Linked DNA regions of Stegostoma tigrinum. Each later gene encodes a partner of the first gene's protein in a complex. Links are inferred from orthologs where the notes say so. Each region holds a gene or a part of one and is shown in the gene's direction. Other genes may lie near its edges.

Region 1 (8,452 bases):
TCCAGCTTCCTTAGAACCAGCTCCCAAAGTGAGGAGAATCTCTGACACTCCGGTTTACATCTGTCAGCCAGGGTTCCTTGATTGGACTAGATTAACAGCTCCAATCAGGGAACTCATATTCTGTGAAGTCCACCTGGCTGTCCACATTACAATCACTACAATGGATATGTGAATACGAAGGGTTAAGAGGGATTTGGGCCAAATGCTGGCAAATGGGACTAGGTCAAATTGGGATGTCTGTTCGGCAGATGAGTTGGACTGAAGGATCGGTTCCTGTGCTGCATGACTCTATGTTAGAAATGGTGATATTAGGGTAGCAAGAGTGCTACTGCAGGTAGTTTTGAAACATACCTCATAAATGGGAGTGTTCATTTGTGGGATGTGGGTGTCACTGGCTGGCCAGAATTTCGTGCCCATCCCTTAGTTGCCCTTCAGAAGGAGTTGGTGAACTGCCTTCTTGAACTGCTGCAGTCCTCCTGCAATAGGTTGACCCACAATGCTACTAGTGAGGGAATTCCAGGATTTTGACCCAGCGACAGTGAAGAAATGGTGATATATTCCCATTCAGGATTGTGAGAGGCGCGTCGGAGAACTTGGAGGTGGTGGTGTTCCCATATGTCTGATGTCTTTGTTCTTCTAGATGGAAGTGGTCATAGGTTTGGGGATGTCTGAGGATCTTTGGTGAATTTCTGCAGCACATCTTGTAGATAGTACACACTGCTGCGACTGAGTGTCGGTGGTGGAGGGAATGGATGTTTGTGAATGTAGTGCCAATCAAGTGGGCTGCTTTATCCTGGATGGTGTTGAGCTTCTTGAGTGTTGTTTGGGCTGCACCCATCTAGGCAAGCGGGGAGTATTCCATCACACTCCTGACTTGTGCCTTGTAGATGGTGGACAGACTTTGAGGAGACAGGAGGTGAGTTACTTGCTGCAGTATTCCTAGCTTCAGGCCTGCTCTTATAGCCAATGAAACACAACAAAAAGCACTCGCATTTATAAAGTGCTTTTTGTATACACAGGTCATTCCAAAGTACTTCACGGCCAATTAAATATTCTTGACGTGTAGTCATTGCTGTAACGTTGTAAACACAACAGCTAAATTGCACAGTAAAGGCTCACAAATATCCAGCAGATGTTGATTTGAGGATAAATATTTAATGAGGACATCAGGGGAACTCTCTAGTTCTTTATATTAGTACCAAGGGATCTTTTATGATCACCTAAGTGGGCAGATAGGACATTGAAAGACAGCAGCTTCAATACTGCAGCGAGCCATGCATTCATGTGAAGCTTAAATTGACAACCTCCTGACACAGGTGAGAGTGTACTGAGTCAAGGCTGACATTGGGCAGCAACCACATTGAGAAGTTCACAATATACTACATCTATTCTGAGGTGAAATTACAATATGTCAGGCATTGTGGCATTAGAAACCAGAATCCTCTCTGATTTTCCTCCTCCCCAGTGCAGGGAAATTGGCTAAGATCAGCTAGGACAGCTGCCACTTACAGTTTTAGCATTTAATACAGTAGCTCTCCAATGGTTTTGTGAGAAAATGCATAAAGGTACCACTTAAATATCTCTAGTAATGATAAGAAAGTTTGCATTAAGGCACTTTACCTAAATGCTTGTAGTATTCGCAACAAAGTAGGTGAATTAACAGCACAAATCATCTTGAATGATTATGATGGGTAGGCATCACAGAGACGTGTTTGCAGGGAGTTCAGGACTGGCGGTTAAACATCCAAGGATTTACAACTTATTGAAAAGACAGGGAGGTGGGCAGAGGGGGCGGGGTTGCCCTGTTAGTTAAGAATGAAATTAAATCTATGGCACTGAATGACATAGAGTCATATGATGTGGAGTCTGTGTGGGTGAAGTTGAGGAACCACAAAGGCAAAAAAACTATAATGGGAGTTATGTACAGGCCTCCTAACAGTGATCAGGACCAGGGGCACAAGATGCACCAGGAAATAGATAGGGCATGTCAGAAAGGCAAGGTCATGGTGATCATGGGGGACTTCTATATGCAGGTGGACTGGGTCAACAATGTTGCTGGTGGATCCAAAGAAAAGGAATTCATGGAATGCTTACAGGATGGCTTTTTGGAACAGCTTGTGATGGAGCTCACAAGGGAGCAGGCTTCCTCAACCAACGCCTCCTCTATTTATTCAGCCACTTCCCCCAGAACTCAAGGATGTAGCCCATCAGGGCTAGGAGATTTATGAATTTTTAGACCTTTTAGCTTTTCTAGCACTTTCTCTTTTGTAATGCCTACCGTACTCAACTCTGCCCCCGACTCTCCTTAATTGTTGGCATACTACTCATGTCTTTCACTGTGAAGACTGATGCAAAGTACTTATTAAGTTCTTCAGCTATTTCCTTATCTCCCATCACAAGCCTTCCAGCATCAGTTTGGAGCGGCCCAATATCTACTTTTGCCTCTCGTTTGTTTCTTATGTATTGAAAGAAGCTTTTACTATCATTTCTAATATTACTAGCTAGCCTACCTTCATATTTGATCCTCTCCTTCCTTATTGCTCTCTTTGTTATCCTCTGTTTGTTTTTGTAGCCTTCCCAATCTTCTGATTTCCCAGTGTTCTTGGCCACTTTATAGGCTGTCTCTTTTTCTTTGATATATTTCCTGACTTCCTTTGTCAGCCATGGCTGTCTAATCTCCCCCCCACCCCCGCCGGATAATCTTTCATTTCTTTGGGATGAACCTCTGTACTGTGTCCCCAATTTCACCCAGAAAGAGTTGAGTATGGTAGGCATTACAAAAGAGAAAGTGCTAGAAAAGCTAAAAGGTCTAAAAATTGATAAATCTCCTGGCCCCGATGGGCTACATCCTCGGGTTCTGAGGGAGGTGGCTGAGGAAATAGCGGAGGTGTTGGTTGTGATCTTTCAAAAGTCACTGGAGTCAGGGAAAGTCCCAGATGATTGGAAAATTGCTGTTGTAACCCCCTTGTTTAAGAAAGGATCAAGGCAAAAGATGGAAAATTACAGACCGATTAGCCTAACCTCGGTTGTTAGTAAAATTCTAGAATCCATCGTGAAGGATGAGATTTCTAAATTCCTGGAAATGCAGAGTCAGATTAGACAAGTCAGCATGGATTTAGTAAGGGGAGGTCATGCCTGACAAACCTGTTAGAATTCTTTGAAGAGGTAACAAGTAGGTTAGACCAGGGAAACCCAGTAGATGTTATCTATCTAGACTTCCAAAAGGCCTTTGATAAGGTGCCTCACGGGAGGCTGCTGAGTAAGGTGAGGGCTCATGATGTTTGAGGTGAGCTACTGGCATGGATTGAGGATTCGCTGTCTGACAGAAGGCAGAGAGTTCAGGTAAATGGCTCTTTTTCAGAATGGCAACCGGTAACAAGTGATGTCCCTCAGGGTTCATTGTTGGGGCCGCAGCTGTTCACTTTATATATTAATGATCTGGATGAAGGGACTGGGGACATTCTGGCGAAGTTTGCGAATGATACGAAGTTAGGTGGACAGGCAGGTAGTACTGAGGAGGTGGGGAGGCTGCAGGAAGATTTAGACAGTTTAGGTGAGTGGTCCAGGAAATGGCTGATGAAATTCAACGTGAGCAAATGCGAGGTGTTGTACTTTGGAAAAAAGAATACGGGCATTGACTATTTTCTAAATGGTGAGAAAATTCATAAAGCCGAAGTACAAAGGGATCTGGGAATGCTAGTCCAGGATTCTCTAAAGGTTAACTTACAGGTTGAGTCTGTGATTAAGAAAGCGAATGTAATATTGTCACTTATCTCAAGAGGGTTGGAATATAAAAGCGGCGATGTGCTTCTGAGACTTTATAAAGCTCTAGTTAGGTCCCATTTAGAATACTTGTTCCAATTTTGGGCCCCACATGTCAGGAAGGACATACTGGCGCTGGAGCATGTCCAGCAGAGATTCACATGGATGATCCCTGGAACGGTAGGTTTAACGGACAATGAATGGCTGAGGATCCTGGGATTGTATTCATTGGAGTTTAGAAGGTTGAGGGGAGATCTAATAGAAACTTACAGGATAATGTATGGTTTAGAAAGGGTGGACGCTAGGAAGTTGTTTCCATTAGGTGGGGAGACTAGGACCCATGGGCACAGCCTTAGAATTAGAGGGGGTCAATTTAGAACGGAAATGAGGAAACATTTCTTCAGCCAGAGAGTGGTGGGCCTGTAGAATTCAATGCCATGGAGCGCAGTGGAGGCCGGGATGTTAAATGTCTTTAAAGCAGAGATTGATAAATTCTTGATCTCATAAGGCAGTAAGGGCTACGGGGAGAGTGCAGGGAAGTGGAGTTGAAATCAGCCATGATTAAATGGCGGAGTGGACTTGATGGGCCGAATGGCCTTACTTCCACTCCTGTGTCTTATGGTCTTATGACCAAATGGTCCCAGTATTAACCCCAGCTTGTAATGAGTTGTTTGACCTCAGATAGCGAAGTACTGGGTTAAAATTGGCCTCACCAGCCCGAAGCAACGGAGGGAGGTATCAGTCAGAGTTGCTCCCTTTGATCACTCTCCAGTGAACTGTGGTAGGGAATAGGTTTGGACAGTACATAAGGACAAGATTAAGCTTCGTTCCGAAGCCCACAGGTTCCAAGTGCTGATACTCATGCATTAAGAATTCAGCTTCAAACTTTTATCCAGTTCAGAAGTGGTAACTCAATTAAAAACATCGCCAAATGTTCTCACAAGACTGGTCCACTTGCAAACGTAAATGTACAACAGGTCTGCACACGTACAATCTTTACAAAAAAAACACGACAGGCTGTTTGGTAAAAGGTTTTCCTTTCTGTGCTTGCCATTTCCACAATTTTCTGTTCATTGACACAAATAAACAAAGATGAATGGATTAGCAATTGCAGAAACAGCTCTCCTTTCTGATATTCATCCTTGAAGATTACTGAATATCTGGTGGTTATTCCGATGAAGATGGCCACCAAACCACTCACTGGCAAGAGTCGCGTATGATAATTTTCCATAGGATTTATTGTCATCGCTCTCACCATAATTGTGCATAATTTTAAAATTTCAATCTAACTAGTATTTGCTGTTAAACGTTGGGCAATATATTTGTAAGTTTTTGCTGTATTAATTTATTTCTTTTTTCTCCTTATTCCGATAGTAACGGCATATTGAACACACCCACCCCTGTCTCTTTTGAGCCAATGGTGAGGTAGCTTGTTGATCAGTGAGTAAGGCGGATGCCTATTGGATAGGTGGTGAGCGGGTAAGAGTCTGGCAAGATGGCGGACAGAACGGCGGTGGATATCAGCAAATTGAAGGTAAAGGGAGTTTAGATAGGGATAATGTGTTCGCCGTTAGAGCGAAGGTTTTGTGATTTAGTGACTATTACGTACTTCACTTTTTCTGTTCCGATTCTGCTCAGAAATTCTCCTCTGGAGACCCGTAGAGTGGGCTATATTTTCCCTCCTCTTGAAGGTGGGGTTGCTTTTTCCTCCCCGTGCTAGTCTAACATTCTTCGAACGTTTTAAGCAGCTTAGTCGTGTGGGACGTGTTTTGAGTGTCACATTGAAAGGAAACGAATAAGTTTCCGGAATGGCCGATTAACTAAGTGCACCGCCCATGGATCACATAGAAATAGGAAACCGTGCCCCCGCACGGTTATTTGGTCTGAACTGGGGCTGTTTGTTCCGTTCTAAAGATATTTCAAATGGGTTATGGCTCCACGAACATCTGAACAAGTGGACGAAACGTTTAAGAAAAGCAGTCTTTTTTTAAAAATGCTGTAACTAAGGAAGCTGTATAAAAGCTAACTTGCACAAACCGTTGCTTGATCCACTGCTAAACCATCTTTCTGGGTGCTTAAAATGTACATTGAAGGCAAAATTCTGTAGATTCGCACTCATAGAAGTTGGGGAAATTTATAACGCAGGACGCAGAAATTGGAGCAAAGAACTTGAGCCATTTTGAAAGTTTTATTTTAAATTGGCACTGGATCCTAGTGTTATGAGTCAGAAAAGGCTACCCTATCGTTGCACAATTGATGGGTTGTCAATTTTAAATTCCCATAAGGAGAACAGTACTGGGATTACTTTGGGATAGGTAACTGATTGTGAGAAGAAAGTGAAGTTACTGGAATGGTTTTGGATTGATTCAGCTAAGAACTAGCATAAATGTGAAAAGGAAAGATGTGAAATTCATGTTGATTTTCAAAGAATGTGGGGCTGATTTGTACAAGGAGTGTAGAAAGTTGAAATGCATGTACAGCAAGCAATTAAGAATGCAAGTGGCATGTCCTTTTATTATTTGAGGATTGGAGTGCAGCAAACAAATCCTTGCTTTAATTGAACATGGTTTTGAAACAAGGTATGTGCAGTTTAATTTCCATTTTTAAGGGAGATTATACTTGTGTGCAGAGGCAGTACAGCAAAGGTTCACTAAATCAGTCATGGGGATGAGGGGATTGTCCTGTATTGAGACTGAATAGTTTGGGCAATGTTTACCAGAGTTGAAAAGAATGAAAGGCGCTGTCATTGAAAGGTACAAGATCCTGAGTAGACTCTGGGTAGACAGATTATTTTCACTGATTGGGGAGCCAAAAACATGGTGGCTTACTTTCTGGATAAGAGAGTAACTACTTGGGGCTAGCTGAGGAGAAATTGCTTCACTTGAAGGATTGTGAAGGTTTGTGGATAGATGGATTTTTGATGCCTTGGAATCAAGGGAATGGGGAGCGACCAGGAAAGGGAGTTGAAGCCAAAGATCAACCGCATTGTAATGAATGAAGCAGGCTGACCCAGCCATGTAGTCCACTCCAATTTCCTGAATCCTTTCTTTACTGAAAACCTCCATGGTTCTGACTATTTGTTTGTTCTCATTGTGCTTTAGTTGACTGAACTGAGACAAGAATGTGCTTCACGGGAGCTGGATACTAAAGGAAACAAGCAAGATCTCATCCAGAGACTGCAGGCTTACCTGGAAGAACATGGTAAAATCATGATGGATATTTAATCTCAAACAATTTATTTTTAATAAATAAAATTACTTAGGAATTTATGAAGAGTTGTGGATTTCTTTCATTACCATACATATGCTGACTTTGGCACATTTAAGATTGTATTTTACAAATTATTACATAGAATTCAGAATAATAAATTAGCTGAGTGCTGGATGAAACAGTTGCCATTACAGGTAATTGTCTTTGTTAGAGAGTCAGAGATTATACAGCAGAGAAACAAGTCCTTTGGTTCAACTTGTCTCAATGACCAGATATCCGAAACTGATCTAGTCCCATATGCTTGCATTTGGCCCATTCCCCGCTTAAACATTTCCTATTCATATACCCACCCAGATGTCTTTTTAAAATATTGTAATTGTTCCAGCCTCCTCCACCTCTTGTGGCAGCCTGTTCCATCCATGCTCCACCCTCTGTTGCCTCTTCAGTCCCTTTTAAATCTTTCCCCTCACCTTAAACCTATGCCCTGTAGTTTTAGACTCCCCCACCCTGGGAAAAAGACCTTGTCTATTTGCCCTATCTATGCCCCACATGATTTTATAAACCTCAGCCAGTGCTCTGGGGGAAAAGCGCCAGCCTGTGTCAGTTGATCAGAGTGCTTGAGTTGCATCCTTATGTTATTTGATTACCACTTTTTTGAGAGTCTTAAATTTTGTGCTTTAGTTTTGCTGTAATTTCAACAATTACTGTAGTTAACTGATTAATTGCTATCTTTTCCCTTCAACTTGAAGTTGACTTTTTTTTGCAGATGTGTATCTAGTTGCGCCTTGAGCAATGTGCACACCCCCTCTGATTCAGGTTTTTGGAAACAAAATAGGTGCACTGTGTGTGTAGATTAAATAAATCTACGTATTCCACGGAAGTGGTTCACTTCTGTCTATCAAACGAGTGAAAGGCAAGTTTAGGACTTTGCGATAATAATTGACATCACAAATTGGCATTCATTTATGATAGTTAATGCAAATATTTTGAAATTAATTGACTTGTAGAAGCAGTTGGAGACTTTCATTGAAAATACCTCCACACTTATTTAGAATGTTCTAAAGTAGGCCAAGATACTTCCCTGTACTGTATTCATCTTGTCCTTGTGTCGTGTAGTGCCAGGCATTCAGATTAGACTGCAATTTCAGTACCTGATCTCTGTTGAAAATTACCACTTATAATTCAGGTTTACAGGCTTTTTAAAACTTTTTTTGGTTTAACCTTCAGTTTGCTATATGTGATTCTTTTCCTGTGTATTTTTTAATTATATGATGTTAAAGTGTACACTTTTTTCTTCATTCTTTCATGGGATGAGGCTGTTTCTGGCTAGGCAGCACTTATTGCCCATCCCTAATTGCCCAGAGGGCAGTTATGAGTCAATCACATTGCTTTGGGTCTGGAGTCACGTGTAGGCCAGACTAGGTCAGAATGGCAGTTTCCTTCCCTGAAGGACGTTAGTGAACAAATGGGATTTTTTGAC
Region 2 (7,773 bases), on another chromosome or scaffold:
TATCTCTCTGTCTCCCGCTTACCATATTCCCCTCCTTCGTCTTCCCATTCTCTGTTATTCCATGCAACTGCCCCCTCTTCTTTTATAGTTATAAAGATCCACAGCACAAAAAAAGGTTATTTGGCCCATAACTTTTCTGCCAGTCAAAAACAAGCATCTAACTATTCTAATCCCATTTTCCAGTACTTGACTGATAGCTTTGTGTGCCTTAGCATTTCAAATCTTCCGTGATAAACACACTGCCTTTTTTAGATGCTGTCTTTATCTCCTTAAAGTAGCTAAATGATAGGACAGAGTCTATTAGGGTGCCTGTAGACTACTCCCTATCAGCTTTTTCTTGCCCTTGTTGTTTCTTACTTCTACCCATTTAGATGTGGCAGATGGATTTTAATACAAGCAAGGTTACCCATTTTTGGATTGCAAAAGAATAGACAAGGGTATTTTTTTTATAAGGCATAAATTTAAATACATTGCCTGATCAATGAGATTTAGGGATTGAGGTGCATCGATCTTTAAAATGCCACGAATAAGTGCAGAATTTAGTCAAGAAGAGTAATGGAATGCTGGTTTTCATACTAAGGGGCCGAAATATGGTGATACAGACGTAAGGCTGCAGTTATACAAAACAAAAACAAAGTTGCTGGAAAAGCTTAGCAGGTCTGGCAGCATCCACGAAGGAGCAAACAGAATTAACGTTTCGGGTCCAGTGACCCTTCACAGATGCTGCCAGACCTGCTGGGCTTTTCCAGCAACTTTGTTTTTGTTCTGATTTACAGCTTCCACAGTTCTTTTTGTTTTTATGCAGTTATACAAAACCCTTGGTAAATCCCATTTAGAGTACTGTCAGCAGAACTGGGCACCATGCCTTAGGAAGGATGTTTTGGCCCTGGATGGAGTTCAGCACAGGTTTAAAAGGATGATAACTGAACTTCAGGAATTCAAATTATGATGAGAGATTAGACAAATTAGGCCTTTACCTTCTAGAATTTTCAAGGTTAAAAGGTGATCCACTCAAGGTCTTCATAAAGATAAACTATTTCCATTGGTTGCAGGTTCAACAACTGGGGACATAGTCTAAGAATTAAACTAGACCATTCAGGAGACATGTTAGAAACTACTTCTATATGTGATGAGTAATAAAGTTTGGAACTGTCTTCCTCAAATGATGTTTGATGCTAATTCAATTGTTAAATTTAATAAATCTGACAGAGACAATTTATTTTAACAAGCAAGGGTATCAAGAGATTTTGGGTCCCAGGCAGGCATATGGAATCAGGCTATAGATCAGCCATAGTCTTATTGAATGGCAGAGCAGGGTCAAGGGGCTGAATGGTCTAGTCCTGTTCCTACTCTACAACTATCAATTCAAGATAATTTCTTGCTATTGTACTTATTCCATTTCTTCTTAAAAATCCCAAATGCCCTTTTCTTTCTGTCTGTTTGAAAAATCACATACCCTTGAAAATTTAGCTCCCAGCAATGATTTCCTTGAAACCATGTCTGTGTGATGCCAACAAGGCAATACCCATTAACTGCTATTTATACCGTTAATTCACTTATTTTGTTTTTAATAAAGAGCTGTTAATTTTGAAATAGCTTCCAACATGGACCTGCACTGATTTGCCAACTGGGGAAGGGTGGTAGGTTGTAATTAGCAGCTTGTGTTGGACTGATCCAGGGATAGTGATCAAGAGCCTGGGATACTGGCTGTAACACATGATTTGGCGAGCATAATCATCAGAGACTGTTGATTAGGCTGTGCGAAAAGGCATTTTGGTACATATTGTCACTTGTTGGTGAAGGAGAACTTTGGTTGTGTGTCTTTTGGTTTCTGACGTTATTCCCCCTCCCTCATCACCAACCCCTGTCCCTCTGTCATGTCCCCCAACCACTGACAACCCCTCCTTCTGTCATTCCAGCCCCCGACTGTTGTCTCCCCACCTTCTGTTGTTAACTCCCTCCCTCTGTCATTACCCTCTCCCTGTATTACTTCCCCTCCCCTCCTTCATCGCCCCCTCCCTCTGGTCATTCCCCCTTTGTCCTTTCCCTCTATCAATAACACTTCCCTTCCCTCTTCCCTCACACCCTCCCTCTGTCATCCTCCTAGATGAATATATCTAGATGAGAACGCCACTACTGTTACAGACTTCATTAGCAAATGTGTAGAGGACTGTGTGCCAAAGAAGTGAATCTGAATGTTCCCGAGGTGGAAACAACAGATGAGCCGGGGATCCATTGCCTACTGAAATTCAAGTGTGTCGAGTTCAAGTCAGGTGGCCCTGACCTTTACAGGAAGTCCATATAGAACGTCTGTAAGGCCAGAAGAGACACTTGAAGGCAATATCGGACTAAGCTAGAGCCCCAAACTAACCACACAGGCGCCCACCATTTGTGGCAAGGCCTACACAACACAACAGGCTACAAAATGAAGCAGAATTAATAACTGATGAAAATACACCCCTCCCTGCTGTGCTCAATGCACTTTATGCTCGTTTCAAACAGAAGGCCAGCGAAACGGTGTCACCTGCCCCAATAGACTCAGATGCATGTGTTCCCTCCGTCACCGCTGCAGCTGTCAGCTCGGCCTTCTTGAGAGTAAACCCACTAGAAGTGACTAGCCCAGATGGAGTCCCCGGCTGTGCACTTGGATCCTGCGTGTAAATCCTAGTGGAAGAATTAGCTTGGAGACAATCAGGATTGCAGATACTGGAAGCTGGAACCAATAAACGTGAAGCTGGAAAAGCACAGCCAGTCACACAGCAACCAAGGAGCAAGAAAGTCAATGTTTCAGGCCAAAACCCTTCATCGGGACTCACGGAGAAGGAGTAATCACTGACATCTTTAACTTCTCCTTAGTACAATCTGAAATCCCCAACTGCTGCAAGAAGACCACCATCATCCCAGTGCCAAGGAAAATTCATGCAAAGTGCCTCAATGATTCATCCATCGTTTCCGGTTGGAGAACATACAGATTGCCTTTTTTGGCATGCAGTCGTTTATACACTTGCTTATGAAGTCTGTATCGGTAGTGGCAAACTCATCTAGGTATTCTAGTTCTGACCTCCATAGTCAATGGCTCATATAAACTGAAGCCTCCCAGGCTGCCTTGATCCCTTGCAATTCGCCTTTTGTCCCTACAGGTCTACATTAGACACCATTTCCCTGGCACTACACTCATCCTTGGAACATCTGGACAACAAGGTTACCGATGTCAGACTCCCACTTATTGATTACAGCTCTGCCTTCAACACTACAATTCTAACCAAATTAATCTCTAAATTCCAAGACCTGGGTCTCTGTTCCACCCTCTGCAATTGCATCCCCAACTTCCTGACCCACAGACCGCAATAAATGAGAAAATGCAGCAACACCTCCTCCGTAACAATCGTCAACACCGGTGCCTCACAAGGCTGCGTAATCAGCCCCTTACTATACTCTCTGTTACACGCACGGCAGTGTGGCCAAATTTCATCATAACTCCATCTACAAGTTTGCTGATGACACCACTGTTAGATCTCAAACAATGATGAGGCAAAATACAAGTAAGAGAGAATGCTTAGTAGTGTGGGTAAAGATAACAATCTCTCCCTCAAACCAAATGAAAGAGCTGGTCATTGACTTCAGGAAGCAAGATGGAAGGCATGCCACCATCTACATCAATGGAGATGAGGTGGAAATAATTGGGAGCATCACGTTCCTAGGTGTGACAATCACCAACAATCTGTCCTGGTCCATCTACGTTGATGTGACAGTCAAGAAAACACAAAATGCCTCTATTTCTTCAGGAGGCTAAGGAAGTAGCAATCGGTAGTAGATTCGCCAACTTTTAGTACATTTAAGTCATCATTGGACAAGCATATGGACGTACATGGAATAGTGTAGATTAGATGGGCTTCAGATCGCTATGACAGGTCGGCACAACATCAAAGGCCGAAGGGCCTGTACTGTGCTGTAATGTTCTATGAAATTTGCCATGTCCATTAAGACTCTTACCAACTTTTACAGATGCACCACAGAAAGCATTCAATCTGGATGCATCATGGCTTGGTGCAGCAACTTGTGTGCCCATGACCATAAGAAATGACTGAGTTGTGAACATGCCCAGTCCATCACACAAGACAATGACCCACGCATTGACTCTACCCACACTTCTCACTGCTTTGGAGAGGCTTGCCACCATAATCAAAGCGACCTCCCACCCTGGTTATAACCTCTTCCAACTGCTTCTGTCAGGCAGAAAATACAATAGCTTAAACACATGTACCAGCAGGTTCAAGAACAGCTTTTTTCCTGCTGTTATTCGACTCCGAATGGACCTTTCAAATTTAATGTTGACCTTTCTCTTTGTGCGCCTTCTCTACAGCCGTAATACTGTATTCCTCTCAGGTCCAGTACCCTTGTCGTACGATCTACCTGCACGACATACGATAATAATAAATAAAATACCTCCACTCCCCACTCGCCCCCGGACTCCGCCTCCCGATCTCTACGTCAACATGACTCCGCCTCCCGAAACCCCCCACCCCCAAATACCTTGACTCCACCTCCCAAACCTCTGACCCCGCCTCTTGGTGCGCCGCGGATGTTTGCTCGGCCTGGAGCCGCCATGTCGGTCACTGATGGTAGGGCCTGTTTCCTTTCCTAGTTGTGCGCTGCCTGGACCTGAGGCTTGGGCCCTGGACCCTGCTTTCGGGCACTGAGTTGGGGGAGCGGTGCGATTGTCGTGTTGAATCGGCTCGTTGTTGTTTCAGCCGGTCCGTGCTGGTGGAGCCCGGGTCTCTGCCGGCTGGATCCTCGGGTCATGATTCTGATTAAGTTCCGGTTAAACCCACAGGCAGTCGGTTATGTGATGGAGTTTTAAAGAGACCAAGTAGTTCGCAGAGGTGGGAGTGGAGTAGGGACCTTGCCAGAGAACAAAGTATCAGTAACTGAGGGCGGAGCAGCAGAGGATATGGTCAGTGGGCCCTTCACTCTGTTCTGCTTTGGACCTATCCCTGACACCCGCACTTTGCAAATAAACATTTACAATCAACAGGAAGAGAAGGATCTGTCCCAGCCTTTACGAGAAGGGCGGAGTTGATATGGCTTGATGATGGCGTCTATAGCTTCCCCGATCCTTCTTTGATCCATGATAACAAGGTGTAGAGCTGGATGAACACAGCAGGCTGAGCAGTATCAGAGGAGCAGGAGAGCTGACATTTTGGCCTAGACCCTTCTTCAGAAATTGGTCAGACACTGCTCTGTGGAACTATAACCGAGAAGTGTGAGGACAATTTCCATACATAGGTCAATGTCACCTTTACTCCTCACGTTCTTCCCTTGATCTCAAGGCTCTTGCTTCTCATCGTGGCCAAAATGTACTCCACGTTTAATGTTAGCAAAGCCAAAAAAAACTTTGTCTTCACTTTAGTCAATATCTATTTGCATTTGGCCATGACTTACCAGCTGGTTGCTTTCAAACCTTTGGTCGTACAACTATGCTTGGCAAAGATAAGCATCATTTCCCACCTTCTGTTGAGACTGCATTATTTCTGACACTCTTTATCCTATTGTTACCAAATGCAAATGCTTGAGGCTGGACTTGTCTAGTATTTTCCCCATCTTGCCTCCACCTTCTACAAATTATTCCTAATGAAGTAGACTGTGCATTGTTTGCTCAAAATCCTATTCTTATCACCCCTGGGAATAACTTCATGATTCTGATCTTTACTTGCTGATTCTTTTATTTGTTTGCTATACCTTAGTGCAGTAATTACTTTTAACTAAATAGCTGACACACTCTGGATGTCAGCATACCCGACATCAAGTGAACCCAGATAGCTCTGTTGGTATGTTACGCTTTTAAGCAGGGTTTTTTGTGGTGCAATGGTAGTGCCTGTACTACTGAGTTAGGAGACCTGCTTTCAAGTCCCACCTGTCCCAGACATGATTGAACAGGTTGTTTAAAATGTCTACTCTTCATCTAGAGATGTGTTATAGATTCATAGAGTCGTACAGCACGAAAACGAAAAACTAGATGCTTCGGTCCAACCAATTTATGCCGAAAGTCATCCCAAACTAAACCAGTTTCACCTGCCTGTTCCTGGCCCATATACTTCCAAACCTTTCTTATTCATGTACTTACCTAAGTGTCTTTTACATGTTCTATTTGTGCCCACATTCACCATTTCCTCAGGAAGTTCATTCCACACAGGAACCACCCTATTGTGTTTTTAAAACAAGTGCCCTCCATGTCATTTGTAAATCTCTCCCCTGTCATCTTTAAAAATATGCACCTTAATCTTGAAATGCATGACCCAGGGAAGAGATACCTACATTTAACCTTATCTCTATACTCCTCGTGATTTTACAAACCTCCAAAAGATCACCTTTCAACCTCCTCCATACTTAACTATCTTCAGATCCCAAACCATCTTTCCTTTTTACCCTTTCCCCATAAAGGTGCTATTAATGTCTGATATATCAAGTATGTTGAATTATTTTAGTCTTAACTGTAAAAAGATCATTGACAAAAGTTTAAATCTCACCAAATAATTCAGTTAACTATTTAGAGACTTTTGAATTGAACTTCATATGCACTAAATCTATGATGCAAATTCAGATGTTTAAGATTCCCTCCTGCACAGAGTTTTGTCACTTTTGAACTTTATTATACTTATCATAAACTGTCCTAAGGTGCTTCACAGGAGCATTATCAAAATTTGATACCAAAGCTCATAAGGTATGAGGACAGGTGACCAAATGCTTCTTTAAAAGATAAGTTCTAAGGAATTCTAACATTTTCCAGTTCTTCCCTTCTCTGCTGCCTTACATACTGAGTGTTTCTAACTTTTTCTGTATTTGTTTCAGACTTCCAGCAGCTGTGCTATTTTGATTTTATGCCAAGTTTAAGGAGCATCTTAAAGGAGGAGGAGAGAGTTGGAATGGTTTACGGATGGAATTCCAGAGCTTAGGGTGGAGTGATTAAAATCAGGTGTGCATAAGGCAGAATACGGAAAAATAATGAGATCTCATAGGATTGTAGTTCTGGCAGAAGTTGTAGACACAGGGAGAGGTGGAAAACTGAGAAACGTGAAAGCAAGGATAAGCTATTTTTCAAATTGTGGTGTGGCCAGACTGGCAGTATAATGACGCACAGATATAATAGATACCTGATGGCTGAATTATAGTGCCACTTAGGTGCATTGTAACTTTAAAAAAAAGTGTGGCAACGAATTACCATGTGTGCATTCATGAACATCATTTATATATTGGAATTTGCCTATCAAACCTATTTATCAAGCAGTACTTGCTGACTAGCAATAATGTTGGGTGTTTGCTTTTTTTTTCAGATGCGTGTTAATTTCAACCTTTACTGTAGGCTTCATGAGTTTGCTAAGAACTGAAGTGAAAATAGATAGCTTGTAATTTTCCTGGCGTTTCTCAATCCATTCTGCTGAAGAGAGGCATTATTTGACTGCTTTGCTCTTGTGCTGTTAATGTTTCCTGCAAGATTTTGGAAATCATAGTCACAGTCTTTGTGACTCTCAGTTACATTTTTCTTTAGCTTTGCTCAGGATGTAAATCATGTGATTTGTTCATATTAAATCTGAGTAATTTAAGCATTATTTCTCTTTGCATTGTAAACTCCTCTAATCCTGCTTGAACACAATTCAAGCTGAGGCTCCAACGTCATATTGAGGGTGTGCTGCCTTTAGGTAAGGTTATAGGTGAGAACGAAGCTTTAATGGAGCAGAAACATTGGGCTGAATAGGTAGTTTCTGTGCTGTTAGA

Evidence for each region. The genes of interacting proteins can lie anywhere in the genome.
Region 2: sarnp (region 1) and thoc7 share a complex: the UniProt entries of both Homo sapiens proteins name them as parts of the transcription/export (TREX) complex. The link is inferred for Stegostoma tigrinum from reciprocal best matches to the Homo sapiens genes SARNP and THOC7.

What each region holds. Positions count from the first base shown.
Region 1 is NC_081404.1:18,536,703-18,545,154, forward strand, and holds the start of sarnp (SAP domain-containing ribonucleoprotein), read left to right. Parts: upstream 1-5,158; 5' UTR 5,159-5,257; coding exon 5,258-5,296; intron 5,297-6,863; coding exon 6,864-6,963; intron 6,964-8,452. UniProt on the Homo sapiens protein: Binds both single-stranded and double-stranded DNA with higher affinity for the single-stranded form. Specifically binds to scaffold/matrix attachment region DNA. Also binds single-stranded RNA. Enhances RNA unwinding activity of DDX39A.
Region 2 is NC_081364.1:48,290,491-48,298,263, forward strand, and holds the start of thoc7 (THO complex subunit 7 homolog), read left to right. Parts: upstream 1-4,522; 5' UTR 4,523-4,582; coding exon 4,583-4,622; intron 4,623-6,849; exon of another isoform or gene 6,850-6,973; intron 6,974-7,773. UniProt on the Homo sapiens protein: Component of the THO subcomplex of the TREX complex which is thought to couple mRNA transcription, processing and nuclear export, and which specifically associates with spliced mRNA and not with unspliced pre-mRNA.